Linked DNA regions of Caenorhabditis elegans. Changing the gene in region 2 together with the main gene of any one other region gives a genetic interaction. Each region holds a gene or a part of one and is shown on either strand. Other genes may lie near its edges.

Evidence for each region.
Region 1: of ceh-18 (region 2) and spn-4, a change in one rescues a mutant of the other (synthetic rescue), as found in Caenorhabditis elegans (one study listed by BioGRID).

Annotation. Positions count from the first base shown.
Region 1 is NC_003283.11:6,779,844-6,789,904, forward strand, and holds spn-4 (RRM domain-containing protein), read right to left. Parts: upstream 5,061-10,061; 5' UTR 5,060-5,060; coding exon 5,010-5,059; intron 4,963-5,009; coding exon 4,858-4,962; intron 4,812-4,857; coding exon 4,749-4,811; intron 4,701-4,748; coding exon 3,985-4,700; intron 3,932-3,984; coding exon 3,810-3,931; 3' UTR 3,344-3,809; downstream 1-3,343. Other genes in the region: ZC404.15 (uncharacterized protein), read left to right, coding at 830-868, 1,121-1,241, 2,836-3,018, 3,110-3,285; spe-39 (Spermatogenesis-defective protein 39), read left to right, coding at 5,648-5,752, 5,918-6,078, 6,125-6,332, 6,384-6,545, 6,596-6,732, 6,788-7,103, 7,156-7,318, 7,369-7,472 and 1 more; ZC404.2 (ABC transporter permease), read left to right, coding at 8,132-8,140, 8,320-8,414, 8,462-8,567; gck-2 (Mitogen-activated protein kinase kinase kinase kinase), read right to left, coding at 9,046-9,148, 9,739-10,061.
Region 2 is NC_003284.9:3,853,473-3,863,533, forward strand, and holds the start of ceh-18 (Homeobox protein ceh-18), read right to left. Parts: upstream 4,326-10,061; 5' UTR 4,272-4,325; coding exon 4,226-4,271; intron 2,895-4,225; exon of another isoform or gene 2,894-2,894; coding exon 2,748-2,893; intron 960-2,747; exon of another isoform or gene 751-959; intron 1-750. UniProt on the Caenorhabditis elegans protein: Directs gonadal sheath cell differentiation and function. Also directs gonad migration and plays a role in specifying the differentiated phenotypes of epidermal cells during postembryonic development.

The DNA.
Region 1 (10,061 bases), on a different chromosome or scaffold from region 2:
TTCTCCGACAAGTCGTTCGATTCAGTTTTCAACTACTGTATTTGTTTTTTTTCTGTTTTTTCCCAGTTACACTTTCTACACGTTTTTGTGAAGTAGTCAAGGTGAATTTCCAAATTTTAACAAACTTTGAGAAAAATTTGTGGTTTTGAAAAATTTAGTGAAAAGTAGTGGCTCATGTTTGATGTTTTAATTTACAATGCTATAATTTACAAATATTAAAAAAAAAAGTAACAATTTTTTAGAATACAAAATCAGTAGGAAACATTCGTTTTTGGATGACTTTTTGACTGTACATTTTTTGAAAATTCAAAAGTTATTGGAATATGGCTGGCAAAGCTGATTTGGTTATTTTAGCCATACATAAATGTTTTTTCATCAAATCACCCCCCCCCCCCCCCCCCAGGTATTATTCACATTCAAACAGCAATTCTCCTCAAATAATCGTGCACCACACCGCTTAAATTTGACAGCTTATATTCTCGGTGGTCTTCTTTTTTCAAAAATATAAGAAAAAGTATGTGTACCTGAGATCTAACAAAAATTAAACCGAGATCACAGTTATTAAAGTGAAGGTATTGGGAGCAAATCTGATGGATTCACATAGTTTCCAATACTTTACGAATCTAGGTGGCCAATCTTCTTTGCATATTTACATGTGGTCAAGAAATGTTTTATTTGAATCTGAAATTATTTACCTTCCATACTTTGTAAACAACAAACATCCGCTTATTCAACCAATGATTTTTCGAGGATCATAACAGATTTTAAAATTGTACGTTTAATTTAAATTTCCAGACAATCAAAACACAAGCTTCGACATGGATTGACTATGGACATGGACACAGCTTATCCTGTTTATTCGTCTATGGTGAGCTACAGTTTGATCGCCATCTATAGGAAATCCAAATGAAAGAGACCTAACAAATACTTGGAAAAATGTAGTTTTTTATTAATTGCACCTGCTTCTAGAACAAGAAGTTCGTGCTTCGATCTCTATTCAATATTATTTCCTTATTCTGTAAAAGCCTGGGCGGTTTCCGGTTGAAAGGCTTGAAATGAAGATGAGAGAGCAATTCGTGGAAAGTGAAAACTGAAGGTTGATGACGTTGCTTTATTTCAGGAAGAGTGCACTGCTGAATGTGGATCCTTGGTTTCTTACTGCATTGGGCATATGCCGAATCTTGTGTGCCAACTCAATTTTGTTGCATTTTTAGCTGTTATCTTTTTCGCAATTTTTACCGGTATGCTTACAAGCTAAGTCTATAAGGACACTGGGTCCTATCAAAAATTCGAGGCTGCGTGTGACGTCACGCACGCTTAAAAAAATTTTTGTACAAGGACATCTTATTGATTCTCATTTAAGAAGAAATAATGATAATATTAAAAAATATATATTGTACGCGAAGTGCATGGAGGGATTGCATTGTGCCCATAATCAAATTCATTAAGCAAGGGTTGAGACCAGAGATGATTCGTCTCTACTCGGCTAACAAATATTATAGTAGGGAAATATAAATAAATATAGCAACGGCTTCTCCTACGCCAAGCGTTATGTTCTTAGTCCGAGAGTTTGGCAGTTAACTCGAAAACTGTCCACGTTTCGGAAAACGATGTATACCAAAATGTTCAAGAATACGGTACCCGGTTCTGGCACGACAATTTTTTGTTAAATCCGGTTTTAATGTTATATTTGATTTTTTGTAAATAAATATTTTTTTTTTCCAAAAAAATAATTAAAAATTGATGAAACTTCCGCAGCAATGAATTTTAAAATGCAGTACTCATTAAAGGCACACAACAATTTCCATGTAACAAAAATTGTCGTGTCGAGACCGGCTGCGGTATTTTTGGCGGAAAAATTGCAAAATTTTGCGACTGGATAGTATAACCTAGGGTGTAAATTTTGAAAAAGTAAACATTCGTTAATTCTTGTTCATATGCTATTCAGATGTTTGCTCTCATCTTGATTAGCCTATTTAAAGAAACCAAAACAAAACTACTGTAGTCAAAGTTTTGTATCAATTAAATTGGCGGAAGAAGCCGTCGATGTTTGTTCGTTTTCATTCAGAGCACCCGTTCGTTTGCTTTTTTCGGTGAAACGAGTAAAGGGAGTAATTGCAGACGGAACTCTTCGTTTCTTGTTTGTTTTAACTCGTCACTGAGCTCTTCTCATGTTGATGAATAAGCGGTGAACGCAAAGCAGGCAAAGAGATGCATAATCCGCGGTGTGCTGAAAGAGATTGGGTGAAAATAATTGCCTATTTTGAAAGTTGACGTCAAAAAATATGGAAAGAAAATAACTATATTGTTTTTGGGAAGAAAACGAAGATGGTGACAAATTACATGTCGGGATTCTTGTTTTAGTGTGTTAAGGGGCCATTCCTATATGATATTACGAGAACACTGAATTTCAAGAATGCGTATTGAGCAAAATATCTCGTAGCGAAAACTACAGTAATTTTTTTAAATGACTACTGTAGTGCTCGTGTCGATTTTCGAAAATGTTTTCTTTTCGAATTTGGACAGCGGGTTTCAATTTTGCTTCGCTTTTTCGAATTGTAAATAATTTTAATTGATAATCGCTGCCAAAGTTCGAGAAAATATTTTCGAAAATTGAGCCCGTAAATCGACACGAGCACTACAGTAGTCATTTAAAAAATTACTGTAGTTTTCGCTACGAGATATTTTGCGCGTCAGATGTTGTGCAATTCGCATTCTCAAAATGTAAATAGTGTTCCTGTAATATAGGCGCTGGGGAATTTTAGAGAAAATCAAAATCTATAGGAAAAAACTATGAAAATTCCAAGTTTGCCTAATAATGCATATTTATTTCAGGTATCTTCATTCCTGTTTCGTGCCTATTTTGTTGGGTAAGCGGTGGTTGTCGACGATCGAAATCCCGTCGAATGTCCTTCTTCGCAACACTTTCAAGTCGTCAAAATCGAAGTCGACGTGGCACAGGAAATGATGAGGAGCGAAGCAGTTTGTACCCTTCCTCTCCACCCACTCTTCAAATCCGTAAGTTTCTCTCTCTCTCTCGTGTTTTCCCATCCATTTTGAAGTTATCATCAAAAACCACAAAACTTCAAAATTCACCAAACTTTTCCAGCAGCATCCACAAAGTGCCGACAGCCATCGTCCTTTTCTCTTCCCGCAGTCTCTCACGACGTCATTTTAGAAGAGAGTGAATCTTCTGATCATGAATGGAGGAAGGCCAAGAGGTGCCGAAAGATAACATTTGATCTCTCAATGACACGCCGGGATAATGATCTTTCACAACTGTGATTAAATTCAAACTGAAATCTAGTATTAACGGGTGATTTTGAAAATAAAACAATTGAATATGGCGAAGCACTTCATTTGACTTCGAGCAATACAGGAATGCAAAAATAACTGGCGAACACAGCGTCTATAAAATACAAAAAAAACAGAAAGATGCTCAGAAAATACAATACGTGGGCACATTCAATAATGTTAGCAAGCGAGGTAGGTTAAACGGACTGGTAGTATATTTTCAATATAGAAGATCTGTTTTCCGATTGCTAATGTTGAGTGTATGTGAGAGATGGCAAAATAGGGAAGATGCTGAAACGCATTCCTACAAAATAACACCGGGGGGGTCGATATAGAAGCTACAGGGAAGAAAAACTAGCAACGAATCATTTGACAAGGACAACGAGTGTCGCTGTACAAGAAGATTCCGTAAAAAATTTGTTAAAGCTTTTTGGTTAAGTGAAAGTTTAGGGGTGTTCGATAAAATGCAAAACACGCAGTTAGTAGAAATAAAATGGGCGTATCAGTTGAACTGATTACTGGCTTGACGATTCTTTTGGTGGAGAAACAGACTTTCCGTGGAACGATGTGGAACCTTCGTAGAGAGCAGCGAGAAGATAATCAGGGCTGTTATGTGGGGACCAATGAATCTCTTCGTCTAAAATTTGATTTTTAAATGAAAATCGACAATCTAGAATCTAAACTATTTACCTGAAACTGTCTCGCTCTCTGATGATCTCAATCCAGAAGATGTCACAGATGGTGCTCTCTTTCCTTTGTTAGCACTATTATTTCCTGATCCAAAATGGTTTGAAGTGTCGAGAAGAGCAGTAATCTGGTCACGAAGATGATGTGGGAATATAGAGTTCAACTCCACATCAGACAGCTCGTGATTCGAAGAATCAGAACACTTATTGCTGCATGGTGAGTTTTGTCTGTGCATGCACATCAGAATACTTGTTTCCGTCGTAGGCTCGCCGTTTTTGCAGAAGTATTCACCAGCTGAAGAAAGCTTGAGCTCGCTGTGCTTGGTGCATCGAGGTGGTTTGGTCTGCACAAGACTACGCGTGTTGAAAATTCCATTGCTACGGTATGGTGCCATCATGAATCCAGCTTCGGGAAAACATGTTGTGTTCTCCTTTTCCTTGAACAACTGATGCATTGGCTCAGCTCTCCATAAATTATGAGGGGCTCGAAGATCGACACACAGCTTTGGTGGTGGCAAAACTTCATTTTGTGGATTGTTGATAAGCTTTCTGCGGGTTGGTGTCGCTCTTCTCACTTCTATAATTCTTCCTTGAACATGTGATTCGTGAAGCGCAGCACGAGCTTTCTCACAGGATTCGATGGAATCGAGTGTGACAAACCCGAACCCTTTGGATCCACGATCATTTGTGACGATTTCCACACTCAGGACTCTTCCATATCTGAAATTAATATTCTTATTCAGAACTTGTTGTAAATTGAAAACTCACGCGAAGAACATTGCCGCCAAATCTTGTTCACGAAACGAGAAGGGAATATTGCTGACATATATCCTAAAAGTTTTTTGATGAATTCATTAAAACGGCACGACAAATTTACCTGTTATCTGTGAAAGAAGCCGGCTCACGAGTTTTCGGTTTGACCGATATTGGCATTGTGAAAATTGGATCTTTGTTGGAAGGATTCGCACTGTTAAACGGTAATCTGAAAAAGAAATACTTAATACCAACATTTAAAAATGATAAACATACCCATCATGTGCTCTGTGAGCGAAGTTAGTAAATATCTGTGTGTTTTGCATTCTGAAAAAAAAAGTTGAATAAAGAAAAATGAGGAACTGGGTAAAGAAAAGACAAGACAACAGAAGACAAGTGCAGAAATGATTCCAAATGATGATAAAACGATTGAAAATATAATTTCACATTTTCCCGCCACCGAGTTACAGAAAAATCTAAAATCAAAATTTCGCGCCTTTGTGATCTTCTAGATTTCTAGTTCATACGAACGTCGGATCAGGTCTAAAAGTTAATATAACTAGACAATTTTGTGTTCTATTTTCGATTAAAAAAATTATTTTACGAATTACTAGAAACTAAAGCTTTAATTCGATTTTCTTTAGGCCAAGAGCAAAAAATAATTTTATTTGATTCAAACTCGCGCTTCATTCATAAGCCCCGCCTTCGCAATCCTGGCACGCAGTTTTTGCAAGGAGCGTGCACGCAGTTGCCTTTCTTCTCTTTTTCTCGTTTCATGTCAATTGCGTTTTTTTTCTCTGCATTTATTTTTTATTGAATTCTTTTCCCATTTTCCCATAAAATTTTATCTATTTTTTCTCATTCTTATAGTTTCTTTCAGATACTTTGCAAAAGAAATGATAATATTATAAAGAATGGCCCTTCGAAGGAAATTCACTTTTGAACTTCCGGAAGACAGTTATTGGAATGAATCTGACTCGAATTCATCCGGATTGTTTGATGATTTACAATCAAAACAAGTAAGTTTTAACGTAGTTATTATATTAAGAAAAAACGAAAAAAATCTTTTAAAACTATAAACGTGACCAGATGTTTTACTTTTAAAAAATTGAAAAAAAAGTAAATTAACACGTTTCTTAATTATTATATTGCTCAAATCAATGTGTTTAACACGAAAATTAAAGCTTCAAGCTCGAGCAGCCGTCGACAATCTCTTCGGTGGCGATGAGACTCCGAAGCCGTACGTCCGACCGCAGAACCCAACGCCAACTCCCACAAATGTTCCACTGCAAATTGACGGAAGAGCTGCTGCTGTGTCAGACAAGGCGAATATTCGAATAACAGAGTAAGTTAATTACATTGTTTTATGAATATAAATAAGTAATTTGCAGTACCTCTCCTCGGGCTTCTGGCAAGATTGTAGATGATTTCTTGAACATGAAATTCGCTGAGAACGTTAACGTGGCGCCAGTTATTCAGACCGCTCCATCTGTGGTTTCTGAAGCAAGTGCAAGTAGTTTACCAAGTGAAGCACAACGTCTTGATTTGGATTATAATCGATTGAGACAAGAACATCGGAAACTTAAAGATCAGCACGAAGTTAGCTATTAAAGTTTTAATATAGAATTTTGAAGATAATTATGATTCTAGGTTCTTCGCCACGAACGGTTTCAGCCGCTTACAATCGAGGCTAGTATCAAGAGAATGCTTCAAGGGCATACTGTAACACTGGATTACTATAGGTCATTACGTGATAAGACACAACTTTTGAAGCAAGCAGTTGCCACGTACGACAATAATACAATTTTCAAGGTCCGAACAGCTATGATACTAATTTTTTAAAAAGTTATCTTTCTTTACAGATTGTGATTTTTCTAGAGAGAACTCTCAAGGAAAACATATTCTGCAAAATAATGGATGGCCAGAAAAGTGCATGCCGAGTTTACACACGACATCTTCAGATCACCGGCGAGTGGGACAAGATGAACAAGTTTTTACGGTATTTAATAAAAACTAAATTAAAATTTGTTGAAATCAATTTCCCCATTTTATAGTAGCATTGGTCAGTATCAACATGCATCTGTCATTGAATTCGAAGCTACGCGAAAATACAAACGAAATCCAGACAAGCGAGTCCCGTTGCTCCGAACCATGCTTCATGGTAGCTTCTCAATTCCTGAAATGAAATTTGAAGCCCGACAAATGGAAGCGTTGATGAGAAACTATGAAATCCAATTGCAAATGGAGAAAATGGATGCTGGAGATAAAGGAGAACATTTCCGAAAGTTTCCAAAAACCAGCTCTCTAATTGGATTACCTGCTCTATCGTCACTGTATTATTCAGCGATGTACCATTACGACGATTCACCGGTACATTACTCTTCAGAACGTTGCAAAATCATTCATAATCGATGTATTACAGACATCTGCAGCTTCTCTACCATCAGTTCAAACATTGATCCGATTCAATGATCGACTTGCCACTCAAACGATCGTCTCAGCGTTGACTCGACTAAGCCGTTGGCCAGATATCGATAAGCTACTTCAACCGAAAACTATCACCATGACGTTCAGTGCAGCTAAAAGTAATTTTGTGGTTTTAGCTGAGAAAATATCTAAATTAACTGAATTTCAGGTGTGTTCAAAGGCAAAAAATCAACCAGTAAATGGGGAGTTTCCATCAATAATCACAATTTGCTGACTATTGTAAAACGATCTCATCCATCTCCACCGACTGATGTGAGGAATAGTTTTAACAAGATACCTATTATTCATGTGTGTAAATTTTCAGTTCATCTACCGTATCCTGAAAGGCGAATCTGATGCACAAGAACGTCTTCGCCTAGCACTACTATTTGATGTTCCTGAAATGGTCATCGAGTGTCTGACACAGAAAGGAGATCGTCTCTCGCTGGCTTCATACGCGAAATCTCTGAAAACAAATTCTGTGGAATCATTCAAAGCGGTGGCGGCTCTCAACAATCCGTCGATAAAATGGAAGTAATTTTATTAATTCGCTTCAATGTACTGTACATGTTTTTTCACCCTCACCACATCCCTCATCACTTTCATAATTCCATTCACGCATAGTTAGTTGTAGAATATACACAATCCTTATCATATTATAGAGCATCATTTCACTTCTTAATACTATAACATAATTTCACTATTCAGTCTTGTAAATGATTAAGAATTATTCATTTTCACTGGTTCCTCGCTCTCTCTTTTTTTCTGTAGATGTAAAAACTTGTCGTTATAGATATTTATTTAAATAAAATTTATTGTTTTCTATCTTTTATTTATTTCTTTAAAAAATTCGCCGTGAAACTTTTTTTTACTTTTAAAAATTTCCACGACGCTTTATTTTTCCTTTATTTTTATTTTATTTCGACTAAATCATGAATAAGGTAAGTTAAAATTATTTTTGAATAATCAGAATGATTTGAAAACAAACGCGCTCCATGTCAAAATGAAAACGCTCCGCCCCCAACAGATGGGTCTCGTTAGGTATTGGCGGAAAACCACTAAATTCAAATTGACCCATGGAGCGCGCTTGCACCTCAATTTCAAAGATTTGTTGTTTCAGACAAGTAAGACTACTGCAAGCAGCTCTAAGAAAACATCAATTTCGAGTGGAAAACCGAAAACTCCACGACGAAAGAAGCCCGGCGCTGTTTCAAGGTGAGCAATTTTTCAAAATTTTATTTCAAATTCGGAATTTTTTTCAGACTTCTCACCACAGAACTACCGCTGAATTTTCTCTTCATTTACATTGTGTTGGCTGCAATGTTTACCACCCTGATCTTCTGGTCACTTAATCCGGTTAAATTCTAGTGATATTATTTCGTAACAGCTCTCCGGTTCAAAATAAATAACAAGACTTATTTTATACAAAAACACGGATGCAAGAAAAAAGGAAAAGAAAATTGCGCGTTAAACAGAAGAAGCTCGATGAAAAAGTGAATCAGGCGAAACAAAAAAACCATTTGATAATAAAATTGGGCACTTTTCGGTATTTATATGATAGGGTAAGGCAATTAGTTGACACAAAAGAAACGAACACGGAAATTGGGAGAAAATGGTGGAAAGAGCGAGGAGATCAACAAATTGATTTATTTTACAGGAATTGGTGATGATGGTGGGGGAATTTTGGTTTTTTTTCTATTAAATTATGCGTGAAATAATGATGAACTAGAATCGAGTGAGGAGAAAGCAGAATACATGAGTTGTGACCCGGTGTAGGGAAAATGTGTAGGTTAAATACGTTTTTTTCTTCTGGAAACAAAAGCAGATATATGCGATGAGAGAGATCTTATCCAGCGATTGGAGTATCCGTATGTCCCATAAGTAAGCTGACGTCACAAGTATCGCCAGAGTTTCGGGGTGACATTGGTTGCGATCGGAGGATTATTACTCTGGAAATGAAGATTTATCGATTTGCCTTTTAAAAAACTGAAAAAAACCTAAAAATTTATGAAAAAATACTTGTATATTTTTGAATTTTTCTTTGTTTTATTCTGATATTTTCATAGAATTTACGCCCTTTCAATGATAATTGTAAGATAATATATAGGATGCTTACAATTAAGTCGTTTAAAATTTGAATTTTGAAGTTTTCAGAAAAAATTTACAAAACCACATTTTTGCCGTTTTTTGGCTTTTTGTTTTTTTCGATTTTGCAACAAGAAAAATTGGATTCTCTCTTGATGAACATTAATTCCATATTTAAATCTGCGTTTTCGCATTAATGCGATATTACTTAAGTTGAATTTTTTTAAAACTAAGACAACTAGAGTTATTAAAATTTTAATAAGTTGATTTTTGTTTAAAAAAAGGTTCTTTAGAATATGGAGATTGCCTTTTTAAAATTACATTTTCATATTTAAGAATGATTTGTTTTTTCCAAAATTTGAGAATTTTTGTTTATTTTACGTTTTTTATACTAAATATCATGACTGTATTTTTTTCAATTCATTTTTTTCAATCATAATCTCAAAAATTGTACCTATCATCACCGATCACACGATATAATCGAGATACATCGCACAAATCCTGAGTATTCAGATTACTTTTCAAATCTCTGCCTTGAACTCCATTTGCATGAAAAGCGAGAATCGTTCCATCGACGACGTGTAGATATTCAATGTGAAAATTGAAAGTGAAGATCGACGGCTTCGGGCGTTCGAATCCCTGTAGATCAGTCAACACTACTTTATTGCGGAATGAAAAGCATAATGTATCTCTATCAATTTGATGCATACTTCCAACTTCAAGCATTTCGTCATCGGCAAGACTTCCGTATGATGAGTTTAAATCTCCACTGAGCTC
Region 2 (10,061 bases):
CTTTTACTTTAAACACCTCCGATTTCCAAGTTCAGAATGCAAGTGCAAACTTGGTTTTCAATAATTAAAATTAAAGGTCTTGAAATGAGTTTTCAAAATATTAAATTGAATTTAACTGAATTGAATTCAGGTTACCTAAAATAAGAAGTTCACTTTTTTTTCAAAAACTTCAATTTGTATACTTTTCAAAAACCTGAACCTGAAATTAGTTGTTTGCAGGATGTTGATTAAAAGGGCTAAAATTGCTAAAGTTTGTGCACTTATCGACTGAAAATTTACCTAATTCAACACAAAAAACTCAACTGCCAAAGTATGCAGAGGTGAAATCGAATAAAAATTAATTTCCGGCCGCTGTGACGAAAAATTGCAAAATTGGAGAGCTTAGCCCTGTTTTCAGAAAAATTCCAGACGCGTCACTACGAAAATTCTCTATTTGGGACCATTTTGGGCAAGTTAGAGCAATTGTTCATACACACTTTATATCATTATTGACCACTGATCGTTATCAGAACCTTTTTATAATGAACAGCTGTGGTAGTCAAGGATCAGAGAGAGAAAGAGGGAAAAGGGGAGCAAGAGATATAGAAAAACAGACAAATGACCGGACCTGGGAAAATAGTGTTACAAAAAAAGGGAAAATGAAATCGAGAGGAGAGATGAGGAGGGGGTCGTTGCGAAAACAAAAGAGAAGTCGTTTGATGGTCCCAATGAGAAACAGAAACGACCTACTACACTTGCAGCTTCTCACTTTTCAAATTCCCTCCCGCGTTTTTTTTTCGCCGCTGCTTTCCCCCGGCTTTTTCCCCGTTTTATGTATGCAACAAATGTTGCATCGGCAAACGGATGGAGTGGAATCTCTGCCCGAGTGGGTGCTACCAGTCGTCACAGAAAAAACATTGAGAAGGGGACCAAATGGGGGAAAAAAGAAGAAGAAGCGTTCCAAATGGGTGGACGGGCGTAGAATGGCACACGCCAAAAAATATTTCTCCTCTCGTTCCAGCTATGTATAAATCTGAGGCAATTGAAAAAAAAGAAACGAAAAACTAAGGGGAATAGAAATGGAACGATGTGAAAAACAAGCAAATCTGGAAGTGCTCGTCGAAAACTCGAGTCATTCAGTGGGGTCGTTTCTCTCATACCCATACACACGCGAAGCACGGACCGCCGGCGTTTTCGTTCCGTAAAGGAAGATCTCATCTTTTTGTCGTCGTCGTCGTCGACTCCATTTTCAGGACCAAAACGACGATGCTCATTACTTATTCAATTACTCAGCGACCGACGGGTCATGATACTTATTGAAAAATGCTGCAGCATGATTGGGTCAGCCAACCTACTTTCTTTATTTCCAGAGGTCTCTAATTTTGAAAAAAAATTGAGGATGCTCAAAAATGTTCAGAGCTGCTGTAGTTTGATACAATTTCAATGTGAATATAGAAGTTATGAAAATTAATTACAAAAGTAAAGGAAAAAAGAACTGAAAATACATTCAAAAATTTTGTTTTTTAATTAAAAAAAAATGATAAAATGACCTGACTGAACCTTAATCCAAAATTAAAATACTACGAAACAAAAAATTTTTACAGCGTGGGAAAAGTTGGAAAACGTGAGAAGAAAAGGCTTGAAATTTAACAAATTTTAGTAATTAGAAAATACACTTTTGTGCTAAAAAGGTATGTATAAAAAGTGAAGCAGTTTATATACAGTGGCAGTCGCTGAAAATAGTTAGCGACCGTCATCTCAATACTGTTTTTTCCAAATATCTTTTCGGTCAAAAATGATAAGGAATATCTAGTTGAATCAATTTCTAAAGTTATTTTTACGATATTTTTTTAGTTATTTCTTTATGAAACGGTCATGAAAATAGACATTAAAAGTTCTAATAAATAAAATTTAGAACATTTATTCAAAAATGTTAATCTTACTGTTTCGAGCCCTTTCTTAAAATTAACTATGCAGAATTTCTAGATACAGAAGAGTAAAATAAAATAATATGTACACATTAACAATAACAGTAAAAATCTATGTTAAAAAATAAATTAAAAAAATACTTTTTAAATAAGACGATGGTTTAAATTTTTATCCATATTTGAAAATGTAATTTTTGAGACAGGCAACAAACTGGTTCGTTTGGAATTTTGCACTAAAAACTAAAAATTGTTTTTTCCCTAATAAGATGATTAAAGATAAAAAATAGGATCATGCCCAGAACAGTAAATTAACAGTTTAAATTAAAATTTTTATCTTGACGAATCACTAAATTTCCCAAGATTTCGCCTAAAAAAAGGACCAATATGAAAAGTTGAAAACACAGAACGACGCGGCTCGGCTTTCTCCTCTGCCTACTTTTAGTTTTGTCCTACATCATAAACAAGGGCCAACTCCCGAATCTGCTTATCTCGATACCCGCATCTCTTTTCCTTTTTAGCCACCCCTTTATTGCATTATCCCACACTTTCATTGCACTGCTTCATCTTGAGAAAGCAAATGGATGCGATGGGCTGGGATGGCCGAGTTGAATTGGAAAGGTCTGATTTTGGGTCCGATGAGAGTGGAAAAACATTACTGACTAATTTAGATGTGTGGTATTTTATAACTATTTTCATAGCTTTTTTAATCATTTTAGTATATATAAAGTTTTATGAAACAGCTTAAATTTTTTTTTTCACTGATTGCAAATAAAAACGTATTTGAGAAAAAAGGTAACTTTAAAAGCCAATTGGAAAGCAGTTTGTTTTCAAAAGACTCACCTCTTCTTCCTCTTCTTCGACCACTTCTTCTTCTGGGATTACTTCGTCTTCAGTGATGATCCTCTTCACCGGTCGACTTTTTCGTTTGCTGGCTCCCGACAAAGATGGACTGACACGTTCTGTGACAAGGCAACCACCATTGGCTTCTGAAAAATGTGCACAAGAAATATGGAGCAGCATCTAGTCAGAAAAGTTCCTTTTTTGAGCAATCAGAACATGTTATCTCATTTTCACGATGCCAATCAAATTCGCGCAGAAGTTTTTTTTTTCGAAAGCTAACATCAACGACGCTGAACTTGAGTTAATCTGTGTAAGTAGTGGAACGCGAAAATAAGGACACACGGAACGGTGATCAATAGATCAAGTTTTGATAGTACTTTCACTACTGTGATTTTTCAATGAAATGATAAACTTTTAATTGATAATTTGGAGTTACTTATTTTGTGTACATTGTTCTACAAATCAACTTACAGTATTTAATAACTGATCAACGTTTCAGTGAATGTAATTGTCAAATAACTCATTCTAACAATTTTTATAATACTCTAAGATGGCCGAATATCAAAATAGAACACTCCATAATTATTTTGGTGAAAATTCAAGAAAAACATTTGAGCATTGCTACACTTACATACATGTTTTCAAAATGTTAGGTCAAAACTAAATTTTAACCACTCTTTGACTGTAAAAAAATTGAAAATTCTTTCAAAATGTTTACTGTAAAATTTTTAGCGCTATGAAACCGCTTTTTAAGTGTAAATGAGTTTTGGAAAATGTTTACCGTCAAACTTTAAATTTTTACAATTTTTTTGAAAAGCTGGTAGCGTAACATTGGAAATTAATTTTTGTCTGAAGTGATTTCATATCGAGTATCCAAAATTTATTTTAATGTTTTGCAAGTATTATAATTTTTTGAATTTCTGACAATTTTCTATACAGAAAAATGCATTCAAAAATTCAAAAAAACTTTTGACCCTTATTTTCTCAAAAGTTATTTCTGGAGTTGTTAAAACTAAAGTTGATAATTTTGAGTTTGCTACTCCAAAAAATATTTAATTATTTTATACATACCATTTCGATTTTAGTATACACATGAATTAGTTTCTTAATGTACATATATTTCATTTTCAGGCTCAAAAAACAAGAAAAAACCCAACAAAACTGTTTTGCTCAAAAGTGCAAAAAGTTTCACTTTTTCATCAAAAAACCCATACAATTTTTGAAAAACGCCTAATTTTTTTTTTTTTTTACACAAGTGAATTTGGATTTTAAAACTGCAAAAAAAGAGCATCTGACCAACATTTTTAAAAAATTGTTGCGTCCAGGTAGACAATCATCGCCTATAACATACCGTTGTCATTAGCTTTTCACGAAAATCAGTCAAAATGAATTATTACAGCAACGCGCTTGATTTGTGACCAGACTCCGAAGAGTCGACAATTAGAAAAAGAAACGGATATTGATAAAGCATCACCTACCGAATACTTCTGCGAGAAATTGAAACGTGTTCTCCAAGGTGTTCATATTTCTTGCATTGATGATATGTGTTGTGAGGATGATGATAGAGACTTTTTACGTCTGAAACAGAGACACTGTTGGATAAGACCGACAGAGAATGTGGTTTTGATAGATGAAAATTAAAAATAAATCGAAACTGTATAAGCTGGAAGGTGAATGAAGGTATGACGAATCAGAAAAGATTGACTGAGAAAAGAGAATCGAGATAAACAAAATGTAATATTCCGTCAATTGAGAAAAGAAAATGAAGAATGTGTTTCATGTGAGCAAATCGGCGGCATGGATCAAGCGAAACGCGTGGGGGCCACTCATTGCCGACGAGGGTGATCGCATCGGCGATTCAGGAAAATGAGCCACCCTAGAAGTTGTAATATTGGCATAAAATCAACCACTCTCGGGGTGGGGAGGAAAAGCCGAGCGGCACCTAACTAGCTGACAGCCAAGCGTTCTAGTGCGACTTGTGTCTCAGTATTTTTCAGCCAATTGTCGCATGCGCCTAATGATTCGATCTGATTTTTCTGCGGCTACTGCTGCATCGCGTTCAGCTCTTCTTGTTATGATAGCTCTCGACGAAAAATGTGGGAGAGGAAGAGAAAAATAAAAGAAATGAAGTGAATTTCGCATAGGACACTTTGTTTAAAACAATTTTCGAGTCCCTGTTTTTCGCATCACTTTTCTTCTATTATCTAAGTTATTCTAATATCTAGGAACGAAACTAGGGTAAAATCTATCGCGTCCTAATTTGAAATTTAAACTTCGATGTTGCCGAACTGTATGAGATCATAAAGAAAATTTGACTGATAAGCTTTGAATAACACATTAGAGTATTAAAAAACGCCAAATTTGCATATGATAAGAAGAGAAATTGGTTCTGTAGCTCCGAGAGTGCCTATGTTTGTCACTTACACATCATTTTCTGAAAGTATTTGCATTCTCACTGTTGAGAAAATTTCTAGTTGAAGCTGAAAAAACAGTTAGCTCTGTAAAAATGGAGAATGTGAAATATTCAAAAAAGATTCTTCGAAATACATCTTGGAGATAAGATGATATGATATCTTGTGTATGAGGCTCACTCTTCCCGGCCATTACACTACACATTCATTACCTAGTCTTTTGAGCACCACTTGGCTCATGAATTCGAGTCTTCACAAAATTACGTAGGATGACAGACAACACAACTGCTAACAAAAAAGACGACGCCCCGCCGGCTTGTTCGGCAGTCAGGCACCGAGGCATTTTTGATTATCAAAAGATTTTTGATGGATTTTATTGAGTGATTGATTGTGGGGGGATAAAATGTTGATTCGGGAGGTGTTGTTCTGTTTGGCAAGAAAGAGACAAAGAATTGGGAAGGAAAAAGGGATAAGACGGAGAATAGGTAGTAGTATGAATGAAACATGGAGAAACAGATGCGATATCGAGAGGTCATCAGCTTAACGAAATGAGCATTGACACATGAGCCCTAAAGTTGAGGCAATTCGAAACGTGATGTACTTCTCTTGATTATCTATTATCTTTTCCTACAAAGTCCCCATTCCTTCAAAAGCTCCATTATCTTTTTTTGTTTTCAGCTGTACTGTAAAACGAGGAAATGTGGATGATCGCACTGGTCGGATTCATGTTTAGCCAGTAAAAGGCAAAAAGGCATTGCGGCGGCCAGATCTGTGGGCAAAACCGCGCAGTTGTTCAAATATGCATATTAGATGGCGTCGATTTGAAACGACGGTGCTTCTAGCGCTGCTCCTGCCCTGCTGACACTCTGGATATACGACATTTGCCTATGCAAGCGAAAGAATGCCGTTTGGCCGGCTCCCCCCAAAAAGCCAAATGGCTCTATGAATAATCACAATGAAGTCGTGGTGGACATGTATGTAGTCGTTGCATGGTCCCAAGGAAAAATGAATAAAAAAGTTGGTGAATGGCGGAGAAAAATGAAGGGGCGCGTGGAAAGCGTGGGGGGGGGCATGACTAAATGGACTCTCATTTGACTATTCACCGTGCTAACAATGTGCGGCCAAAAGTAAAAGTTGACATTTCGAGATTGAGTTGGCAAAGAGCGAGTTGCGTTGAAAATGAGCATTTAAAAGGGAAAAAACTGTACATTTCTATCGTACACTCGTGTTGATGTGAAATGTAATTTTCACATTCACAGTTCTCTTCATCACAACATTAAACTTTTAATATAATTCAACTGGTGAGGTTTGAAATATCATTCGATTTATTTGAGAATTGATTGAATTTAAAATAGCTATCAAAATTTGTATAAAATTAGAAATTATTTAAAACAGTTTTTGAAATTTTTGGAAGTTTTGAAGCAGATGGATTTGCAAGAATTGAGATTTTTTAATACAATAAAAATTAGGACAATCTTAAAAAGAGTATATGATTTGATGAATAGTATGAAATACAAATTTTCCGAAGCCTGGCTAAGCTCTTCTAATAGCTTAAATTGCGGCCTATTTCAAATATTTCACAACATTTTCAAACAGCATAATATAGATAAATAAATGATCAACAATTTCAATTGATAATTTTTGCAAAAGTCAAAAAATAACTGGTGCTCTGAACTATCAAAAAATCTCTCATTCAATTTGTGAAAAGGAACATAACTTGTAAAAACTGTGAAAATGTTCATATTACAAAATAGCCGTCATAATTTGTATAAAATTAAAAATTATTTTTAGATCAGTTTTTTAAACTTATGGAAGTTTTGACCGCGAAAGTTTTATAGGACTCCCCCATTTTTTAATGTTTTACCGAGATCAAATGTTTTTTTTTCAATATTTTTTACCGTGGCTTGATTCAAATTATCAAATTAGGTAGATGTGCAATTTTGTAAATCAGCTAAAAAACATCAGAATTCAAAATATTCAGCTGGTTCTTCCTAAAAAAATAAGTCATTGAAATTGTTAAAAATTGCAATACTTATAGAGAATATACTGTATGTATAAAATCCTTTAAAACAATTATGTTAGTTCCAAGGTATCCAAACCCTTCACAGTTGAAATGAAAATTAAGAGAATGAAAATGTAAAATGCCAAGTAAAGAATGTCTCTTTTTTTTGTCTTTCTTTGTCAACTGATTTGATACGTATGTACGTTGTCCTAATTGATCAATACTCGAGTTGAATTTTTGCGCAAGAACGGTGATTAGTTTAGAACAGTATGGCCAACGCATGTAAAACCAAAAAATACGAATAACGTTCTCTAATTATCAATATCACCGTCAAGTTTTTATTTCGTATTCGATATGTCTCTGTACCTATCATAATGATTATCACTTGTCTTTTTCAATTTTCTCCTCGCCAGGTAAGCTGATGTGTAAAGTGACCTAACACACATGGTGAGAAGGAAAAAAATAGAAAAAGTAAGAGGAAAAATTGAGTATTTCGAAGAGAGATGCAAAGTAACTGAAGAACAACTAACTGGGCAAGGTCGACTTATCCCAATGCATATGGTGTGTTTTTATTTTCTGAATTGATCACTTCGCTTATCACTTGACTGCATAATCCCGTCACTTGCCCATTGGTTAAACACATTACCGTAGTCAAAGAGTCGAGCAATCGGTTCTCGATTCACTCGAGTTGTAGTAAGAATCAACAGAACTAGTCTAATTGATTTGTGAGTCATTGAAAGTGTTTTTTTGGGAATCAGAGTGCTCTTTCTTTCATTAAAGTGCATTTGAAATATTCGACACAAAATTCATGGTGTTTTTTGTCTTCTCTGATGAAAAATGCGCAGCTGTTGCTGCTCGGCGCTTTTGGGATACATAAGATGTTGATGACAGCTGTTGGAAAATACTGCAATATCAATCTCAAAACTAAATACTAATGACGAATCTTATCGAAATATTCTTACTAAAATAACAAAGTTAAAAAAAATTCAGTCACAGCAAAAATTTTAAAAGATTATGTTTAAAATAGTTTACCTTCTAAATCTTGTAGAGGTTTAAACTAGATTTCTGTAATTGTTTAAAAAATTCAAAACGTTTCTCAAACTTGACACTTTTAAAAAAATTTGACTGACATTTTCTTGCTTTTAAGAGGTGAAAATATGTGAAATTACGAGACTACGGGACGAGACTACGGGAATTACTCCATTTCCTCATTGACAAAACTTAGAATTGTCTGTAATTTTTTGTGATGTTATTATGCAATTTTTATTAATTTTATTATAAATCTTAATTTAAAAAAATTAAACTTTATGAAATTTAGAAAAGGAAGTTGATTAAACTTATTAGAAACACTTTCAAAAACTGTTTGAAACTGTAGTTCTCGTCACTCATAATCTTTGGAAATTGACCAAATAGCTGTTTTTTAATCAGAAGGAAAACTAGACTTCTAGAATCTTTTTTTACATCATTTTGATTTGATTCAAACTCGAAAACATTGAAATTTTCAATTTTTGACAGGATATCTCTCAAAAATATATATTTAGCAAGAATTTTTTTTTTGAAATCTATTCTTAGTGTTGTGCCAATGCTGGCGTTCTAAAGATAGTAGCAATGTTTGGATTATCCAAAATTCCAGGTGTGTCATGTAAACAAATGGTACAATTCTAAACAAGTTGAAGAAATGAACTGAATATGCTATATCTAAATAGATCAGCTCATGAAAACCTTCGAAATCACACATCGGTTTCAGAAATTATGTGCTCAAAATTTGATTTCAAAATGTTGACATGTCGGCAGAAAAATCGAGGTTAAAAAAACGGTGGTTCGTTTACATATAGGCAAGTGAGCAAGTCAAAAAGCGAGGAAAGGCTCGATAAACACAAAAATTATACGCAACGAGTTGAGAGCATTTGGTGAGAGCAAAACGGGGGGACTTTTGAGATACTCAGAAACGGCTTGGGGTCGCAACGACACTTGCGGCGCTAGGTGGATTCTCTTTCTCTGAGAATGAAAAAAAAAACGAAGAACATGCTGCACAGTAACCTCAGTCAATGAGGTCTCTGTGGCTGACTTGACTCAACTCTTACGTGACGCCTCTATTTGCATACGCGGCTGACGGTTGGCAAATTGTGCAACTGTTTGGAAGAATGGGGAAAATGAGAAAACGACTCTCGGCGCCTACATTTCTCCGAAATTCACTGAATCACGGCATTGTTGGAAATTCATGAATGGAGTATACATATATGTAGATGCAATTTTAACAGCTGTTTCAGAGGTTGTACCAAGGCGTATATACACAAGCCCCCAGATACATTTCCAAACAGAACAACTTGTACATCTGCTTCTTTTGGCGGCTTTTTTGAGATTTAAAAGGCCAGGGACAGGGACAGCTAAAGTGACTTCAATCTCGACAAAAACATTTCAAGTGGAAAATAATATATTTTTTAGCTGTTTAAAGCGATTAATATGAGATAGGGACCGTACCATAGTAATTCTTTAAGTTACCAATTTGTTAATTCAGCAAGCTCTTCAATTCGCCTCACCTGGCCGGTGCACAAAGAATTCGAAAAAAATGATATTATTTGCAGCAGAAATGAAATAAGAGAAATTATTCATTCTTCAAGTAATGACAAGTTAAAAGCAGATTGTGCGCGTAGACAGTATGACCCCCCGCGCCGCTGCTCCCGTGAGCACCTTTTTTCTCTCTCGACAATCCACTATTCCTATTCATTCAAATGTTTACTATTCCAATATTCTACCGTCTCTTATTTCGTTTTGTTGATTTACTGAATTTTTCTTTCTTTCGGTGATTGCGAAAAAAAATGTAGAGCCAAAGTGGAGGTAAAGTAGGGTTGGGTCAGAAAACAATAATCACAAAAATTAGACAGACACGAAAAAATGAGC